Arabidopsis thaliana: one gene and its partner. The protein of the gene in region 2 binds, or shares a complex with, the protein of the main gene of each other region. Each region holds a gene or a part of one and is shown on either strand. Other genes may lie near its edges. The genes, in order: LSM1A and LSM6A.

Region 1 (3,649 bases), on a different chromosome or scaffold from region 2:
TACATGAACAGTCTTCGCATAAATCATTTGAGCATATTTTCATATTTTTGTTTCATATGTTTGATGATGTATATATAGCTCAAGAACCATCAAGTCCTCCTTTGAGTAAAGAAGTCCAAGGTTTGCCTCAAGACGAAGAAACCTTCTTAGCCATCGGAACACTTGGAAACAATATCTTCCCCAAGCAAGAAGAAGAAGAAGAAGAAACAGATTCTAGCAAAGATATAACTCCGGTTAATACAGATGTTACTATCGGGAAGAAGAAATCGCTTTCTTTTCTTCTCAAGAAGATGTTTGTTTGCACAAGTGGCTTCAAAACTCCACCTCCTCTTCTTGATTTATCTAGAGGAGATTCATTGCACAACACACGAATGGAAAAGGTAAGCATATATGATCAAATTATTCAATCTTTAAACAAAATATTATTTTTATTATGAAAAGAAGTGAATTCAATAATAGTTATGTACACTAGAAACATTTTTTCCATATGTTATTTTGTGTGTAGATGCTAAGGACAATACTCAACAAGAAGATACATCCACAACGTTCAAATTCTATAGCAAAGAAGTACTTGGAAAGTAATCATAAGATTATGGATGAAGCTCGTTCAAGTGTTGACGCCAACAAATGGGTCAAGACTGATTCTGAATGTGAGATTTTCTAAAATTATATATATTTGGTTTTTCAGGTCGCAAAAAAAAAAAGTTTTATTTTAAACATACAGATGGTGTAATTAACCAAGTGAATATCATGACTGGCTTTATTGCAGTATTTAGTTAGGTCAAAAGCATATAATAAACATCATAAGGACTGAATTAAAATGCAGAAAGATGAAAAGTAAGAATTTAAAAATAGATAAATAAACAAATAGAAAAATGTAAACAAGAATAATGGATAGGGTAAATTAATTTAAATTTCTTTGATGGTTACAGATATTGTCTTGGAGATGTAGATATCAACCAATAAGCTAAATGGACCTGATTGATAGTCATGGTAATAATAGAATGTAAATAAAAACCAAAGTTTTTTCTTATTAAAAATTGATTTTCTATGTAAAATATAAAAAGTAGCAAACAAACATGATCACTGATTCAAGACAAATAATCAAAAATATGTTTTTCAGGTCTCAATTGAGTGATGGTGTAAGTTCAACTGTTCAAGATATGAAGAATAACATTGGAGAAGGGTCATAAAAATATCTCTGATAATCAGTGTTTACAGATGTATATTTACTTGTCAAACTCCATTTTTCATCATAGATTTGTTTTTATTTTTTCAGATTTTAATGTGGTGAAGAAAATCTGTTTGCTCATGTAAACTACAAAATATTCATCTTATCAAATAATTTTATTTGTATTTATGCAGTTTGAAATAAGTGATGAATAATGAAGAATGACTGAGATTTCTTGTTAAATAATAAAATGAAATGAAGGAAAACCCAAATGCAAAATAAAATGGGTTGATTATGCAATAGTTACGAAGTTTTGGGGTTTTAATGTATTTTTCCTAAAATTGAAAAAAAAACTCAGTCTGACCAAACTTTGACAGAACAGAATCGTGCGAGCCGTCAGACTTAACGAAAACGATCCATAGATCTCAAGTCTCTCTCTCTTAGTGAATAAATTAGGGTTCGTTGATTCTCTGTTCTTAAGCTCAGTAATCGAGGAGAAGAAGAAAAGGGAAGATCGGGAATTGGGAAACTGAGAAGTCAAAAAGGCAAATGCGAGTGGAGGAGATTGAGTTTTAGAATTCCAATGTCTTGGGCTGCTCCTGATGATATCTTCTTCTCCACTTCTCTTGCTGCTTACCTAGACAGTAATCTCTCTCACTCTCTTTCTCATTACTGATTCACCGGCGATGAATTCTGTAAAAAAATAAGATTTTGATCCCCAATGGTTGTTGAAGATGTTATCTTCTTCTACATGATTCAATAGTCTCTTAATGTTTTGATTTCTTGTTGCAGAGAAACTTCTTGTGTTGCTTCGTGATGGTAGGAAACTGATGGGTCTACTTCGGTCCTTTGATCAATTTGGTACTTGTCTTTCTCTTTTGCACCGAAAATCCAAAGTCTTTGAAATGGTTTTAAGAAATGTTTCGTTTGTTTTTGGTTTTCTTGAAGCTAATGCTGTTTTAGAAGAAGCTTATGAAAGAGTCATTGTGGGTGATCTCTACTGTGATATTCCCTTAGGTCTATACATTATCCGTGGAGAAAATGTTGTCTTGATTGGTGAATTGGTAAAGCTTTTACTAAACAAACCAATTCCTCTTGCATTTTGAAATGAAAGTTTCCACTTTTAAGAACGATTTCGGTGTTTGAATCGGGTTTCTGTGATCTTAGGACGTGGAAAAAGAAGAGCTTCCAGCTCATATGGTTCAGGTTCCAGAAGCAGAGATAAAAAGGGTTAGTGCAAATATCCTTCTCTCCCTTGTTGATTGCTTTAGCTCTGATTTGTGAGCTTCTTGCACAAATGTACTACAGCTGATTTGCTTTTATTTGGTTTAGTGTTTTGGATTCTACTGACTCCTCAATTACTCTCTTCCGTATACTCAGGCTCAGAAAGCAGAGAAGGAAGAAATGCTTTTAAAGGGCACAATGCGGAAAAGAATGGAGTTCCTTGATCTCGATTAGGGCATTTTCCTATGTGTTGCAGCATTGTAGAAACTAGAAGATCTCAAGATGGAGGATACAGAAGATCCTTAAACGTCATAATGTTAGTTGATGTGTGTATGTGTGGATGACATTGATGAATCCTCAGAACTTAGTCGTTGCAGATCCTCTGCTCTGTTTATGGAATGAAATTGTTGAGCCTGTTCTTTACTGGCCATTTATTTGATCAATCACAATTCAGTAAAAACAAAGATACAAAGATGAAAAGTGAACTCAAAGTACAGTTACAACCTTTGTATGATTCATATGAAAAGTTGAAGTAACAAAGCAAACATAGTATCCTTCTCTTAGTAGTTACCAAAAACCATTGAGCCAATAAGGCGTCTCCTCTAGGTAGGCCCTTTCACTCCGGGTAAGATAGCATTGTGATGAGTGACTCGTGTTGCGGAAACCTTGATAAGAGATCAGAGCGTTTCGCGAGCTCAAAGTCCTCGAACTGGAAAGCAGGAGCGCAGGTGCAGCCAACAAGAGAGAAATGGTTCTCAGAGTCTCTAGCCTCAGCTTTAAGCAGAGCCCCGTCTTGAGAAAAATGAACATCCTTTGTAGGAAACGAACCAAACCAGACGTTTGGAGGGACCGTGTACTGAGGCTTCTGATCACCTTCAAACAAGTCAGGACCAAGACATGTGAATTTCAACTTCCCATCATCGTAGAGTTCCACTACCTGATCAAGGCAAGAAGAAGAAGCCATATTCAAGAACATGGATTATATTCTTCTTCTCATTATACAGTTTTGTTCACTCACTGTAAAGACAAGAGCTTTGAACTTACAGTAAGGGGTTCACCCAAATAAAAGTGCCAGGTTTCAGCCATTGGTATGCGATGAAGACGAGAAACGCTCCCAGATGGAAGCAAGAAGTAGATACTTGTGCTCACAGCTCTGTCCACCTTAACTGCAGAGATTCAGAAAAATATATAAAAAAGGATCAAACTTGCGAGATGATCTGCAATAACCCAAATCCAAAGTTTAAGCATTGATAA
Region 2 (4,252 bases):
AATGTACCTGAAAGACACACTCGCTAACGACGGCCTTCAACAACTAATCAGTAGTCTCTCCAAAGATAAAGGTAAAGAACAGAGCGATCCTCTCCTTCTTGAGCTCTTATCTCCCTGAAGTTGATCTTTTTTATAAATCTGTTATTCAACAGAGGGAAGAATTATGGTGGAAGACATTGTAAGGTTGGGGAGATTGGGAAGCAAGCCAGAAGAAAATGCAACGGAAGAAGAATCAAGCTGAAGGAAATAATACTATGATTTTAAGACACACATAGACTTTTTAATACTAGTGAAGAGAGTTTTATTGAGAGAAGCTCTACTTCATGTTTTGCTGCTTAGACATAAGCAGGCTACTTACATATACAAGCGGCTAAGAATACGAGACCTTTTGCTAGTAATGTGAAAAGAGGTTGAAGATTAAAAATAACATTACGCCAAGAATGATATCTTGAGCGTTTTATTTCAATGGAAACTCCTGATTCAAATGTGTCGATGGCTATGAATATGATAATCTGATGATTGACTGGTTATACTAGTTTGACATGTGTGTTTCCAGTGATCCCTAAATGACATAATTCGATTACTAAACTTTAATGATCTTCCTCGTTTCGATCTGTTGGTCACCCAAACTCAATTTTGTTTGCTTGTATGATTGTATCAAGCCATAAATTAATAATTTTTCTTCTTTATCTGGGGTCACATGGAAGAGTATCATATTACTAAGAAAAAAGTGATGTCTGTATCCCAAAAATCTACTGAAGAACATAGGATGACAATCTTGGTACATGTCTACTACTCTTTTAATATGAGGTAGAAGAAGACAACAAAAATGGCAGCCATAACATGACCACTGTTGTTGTTGTTGATGATCATGATGGGCCTAGGCTCCGTCTGCTACAGTCATGTTTACTGTACTGATGTAAAGAACTGCATCCAAAGAAACCACACTTAAAAAGAAAGATATACAAAGAAGAAGATTGAGAGAAGGATGAGTGTGAGAGATTTTAGTTACCGTTGTTTCCACGGATAAAGGCGTCACCATATTTGTTCTTGAGCTGCCCGTTTACATACTCCTCCGTCTGCTCCATTGCTATGTTCATATATCCATCAAGACAAGTAAGAGTGCCTGTGAAAAGAGTAATAAAAACTTGATCAAGAACTCAACATTAAGCTTGAACAGAACATAGACAAAACTGACTCGGGCACGAAAGGAAAGAAGTCAACAAGAATGATATAAGTAGCCTTGATAATGAGAGAAACTGACTTAAATATTCAAATATCTCAGTCAACTATTGTAACCTTATTGCAGGCAGAAAGGAACATGTTCTTAAGAAAACCATTGAACAATGTTCACAAGGAAACCTTAGAAAATGTAAGAAAAGCTTCACATATTGACTTTAAAAGAATCATTTAAAAGCTGAAGACATAACATGATAATTAAGTTACTTAAGTGGGCTTAATACAAGCAACTCTTTAATTCCCTTAACATAGACAAAAGAACTAGTCCTAAGTCAAAGCTTCTAACCTAAAGTGCAGCAGAGATAGAGAACTTGCAAAACACATAAGAACATCTAACGAGAGAGAGAGGCACCTCGATAATCAACACCAGAATTGAGCTTGACAACAACGGGTCTCCCACGGATGGATTTGAGGAAATCTGCAGGTGTCTTTGTCGTTCCAGAAACTTTCTCTTCAACTCCACTCATCTTTTAAGCTCGATCCTTTACGTAACTGCAGAAACAATTGAGATCTGAAATCAGTTTGGTCGCTCTTCGAACTACAAAAACTCAAAAGGTAAAAACCATTCAGAGTCAATCTCTCGAATCACAAAAAGACTCCGAAACCTAAAAACCTAAACCTTCAACCCAATAGAAGCGAATTCGATTGAAAATGTAAAGAGAAATCGAAACTTTAACAAGGATTAAAGGAACTGAAAGAAGAACTCCTTACCTGAGACCTACTCGAGTACGAGACACAGAGAGAAAGAGAGAGCGAAGAAATAACGAATCGGTCCTAAGGGCTTTTATTATTTATTTCCAAAACTATATACTATATGATTATTGTTATTTCGATTCGATCGAGTTTTCATATTAAAACTAATAATAATTGAACATTAGTCCTTATAGATTTTATTATTTTACTTTGGAGGGTGAAATTAAATCTCCAGTGCGTTTCGGTTCGACCTCACAGTTTCTTCTGTTCTCGTCTCTCTCTCGTTTGCTTTCTCTACAGATCCCTAAATCCTCTCCCTTTGGACCGTTAATCCCCCAAACCCTAGATTTTACAAACAATTCCTCTCAATCTCTCTAAATTCTCTTTCTCCTGCAAGGAATTTGCGGACTGTTTCTTGTGGGGTAAATCTTCTATTAGCTATGGGGAAGAATCAAGCTTACAAGGCTATGCAGAGATCTAGGGTTGGTTCCAGCTCCGCCCAGCCGGATGAGGTTGAAGACGGAATGGTTTGTACCTTTTCATACTCTCATCTTCTTCATTGCAAATTGATTCTGTTTTTTTTTACTTCTCCAAACAAAATTCCAATTTGGTTGATTTACTTATGGTTTTGTTGATCTTTTGTGTTGTTGGGTTATCGAGCTGCATTTAGAATTAAGCCTACAAGAGATCCTTTATGAGTCCCAATTTTGGGGGAAGAACTTGTATCTAATACCTGCTAGGTCTTGTAGACGATATCAAGTCCATGTTTAAATGTGATTTCGTAAAAGTGTAGCATCAGAGTTTGTGTTACAGTGATTCAAGAGTCTTTTTATTGTTGTTGTAAGCTGTGAACACAAAGAAGCATTTGGATTAGTCAAACTTTGATATTTTGCATTGGTACCGGAACATTTCTGATGAGGATTGTCTCAGGTGGATGGTTCATTTCATACACCAGAGTGGCATGCGGCTCGTTTGGCTAGCCTCAAGACTACACATACTATTACCTGGGAAGAGTATAAGCAGAAGCAAAAGGTAATCTTTTTGCCTTTTTAATACTTAAGTTCTTCTGTATGTTGTATGGAACGGTGTTCCTTGTTATAATGCCATAGAAGATAATCAATTGACCATTGATGATTTAGTGTTCATAAGATTGCTATTATTGTCGTCAATTTAGAAGCTTTATTCCAACATATCATTTTCTTTTCCTCTGCTGTTTATCATCTTCAGCCACAGATACGCAGTCTTTGTGTGTTTATATAAAAATGAGTGTGTCTTCCTTCTACATTACATCTATCCCTATCTCGCGGTTTTCAAGTAACTCTAGTCATGCTCATTTTTTAAACATTTTTATTATCTGCAATATCAGTTTTTTACTACTACTTGCAGCAGTCTCTCTGTATTGTGAGTATGGAACATTAGGAAATGTTTAACATTATATCTTTCTTTCGTGTAACATGTGTAGGAAGAAGAATTGAAAAAGGGAGAACTTGAAGCAGATACCGATAAACTGATGCGTGAGTATAGAGCTCAGCTGGATGCAGAAAGGTCGTTGAAACTCTCCAAAGGAAGGAACTATTCTAGTGATAAGTCACGAAAAGGTAAACATAATCCACTTAACTTAACATGACATCTAAACCTTCTTTCTGAGGACGTTATTAACTGGTCGCCAATGGTTCAATGACCTCGCAGATAAGAAAGACAGAGATTCAAAGAAGAAGAAAAGCAAAAAGAGAAAGGTGCCTTCTAAAAGTTTAGCTTATATCAGATAGTGTGAGGTTTTCTAGCTTATGCTAACATGAACCATGATCGGTTGTGTTATGAATTTGCAGCATTATTCGTCCTCAGAGTCGTCATCTAGCAGTGATGAAGATGAATCTAGAAGATCAAGATCAAGTTCGAAAAGATCAAAGAAGGAGAAGAAGCACAAGTCCAGCAGAGACAAACACTCTAGCAAAAGTAAACACGAAACCGATGGCCCTGTACCACTCTCTAGATTCTTTGGCAATTTGAAGAATTGACAAAAGCAAAACTGCAAATGAACTATTACAAAGAGTAAGATTGTCTTCAATCAAAATACTCAAAGTAGGATATGATTGCTTTCTTCCTTGTTGCAATGTTATATTTTTGACAATAGCTCATGTATTAATATTTGTTGGATTGAAAGTCGCAATGATGCCCACAGAATCATGGTTTTTCAGTTTATTTGCTTAAAAATGAAATTTGACAACATCAAAAGGGAATCTAGCAGAAAATCTTAGCACAACAAAATTTCTGAGAGATGAAAAAATTAAAGGAAATGAAAAGGGAAATTATTCAAAGA

Evidence for each region.
Region 1: LSM6A (region 2) and LSM1A share a complex: the UniProt entries of both Arabidopsis thaliana proteins name them as parts of the heptameric LSM1-LSM7 complex.

The regions. Positions count from the first base shown.
Region 1 is NC_003070.9:6,606,534-6,610,182, forward strand, and holds LSM1A (Small nuclear ribonucleoprotein family protein), read left to right. Parts: upstream 1-1,581; 5' UTR 1,582-1,754; coding exon 1,755-1,815; exon of another isoform or gene 1,816-1,963; coding exon 1,964-2,032; intron 2,033-2,119; coding exon 2,120-2,235; intron 2,236-2,338; coding exon 2,339-2,401; intron 2,402-2,551; coding exon 2,552-2,629; 3' UTR 2,630-2,836; downstream 2,837-3,649. Other genes in the region: AT1G19115 (uncharacterized protein), read left to right, coding at 79-380, 506-650, 933-952; AT1G19130 (RmlC-like jelly roll fold protein), read right to left, coding at 3,012-3,332, 3,440-3,561. UniProt on the Arabidopsis thaliana protein: Component of the cytoplasmic LSM1-LSM7 complex which is involved in mRNA degradation by promoting decapping and leading to accurate 5'-3' mRNA decay.
Region 2 is NC_003074.8:22,094,295-22,098,546, reverse strand, and holds LSM6A (Small nuclear ribonucleoprotein family protein), read right to left. Parts: upstream 2,079-4,252; 5' UTR 1,951-2,078; exon of another isoform or gene 1,732-1,950; 5' UTR 1,707-1,731; coding exon 1,592-1,706; intron 1,127-1,591; coding exon 1,013-1,126; intron 928-1,012; coding exon 881-927; 3' UTR 581-880; downstream 1-580. Other genes in the region: LETM1 (LETM1-like protein), read left to right, coding at 1-71, 155-258; AT3G59800 (stress response protein), read left to right, coding at 2,373-2,459, 2,863-2,964, 3,395-3,530, 3,622-3,668, 3,762-3,950. UniProt on the Arabidopsis thaliana protein: Component of LSM protein complexes, which are involved in RNA processing. Component of the cytoplasmic LSM1-LSM7 complex which is involved in mRNA degradation by promoting decapping and leading to accurate 5'-3' mRNA decay.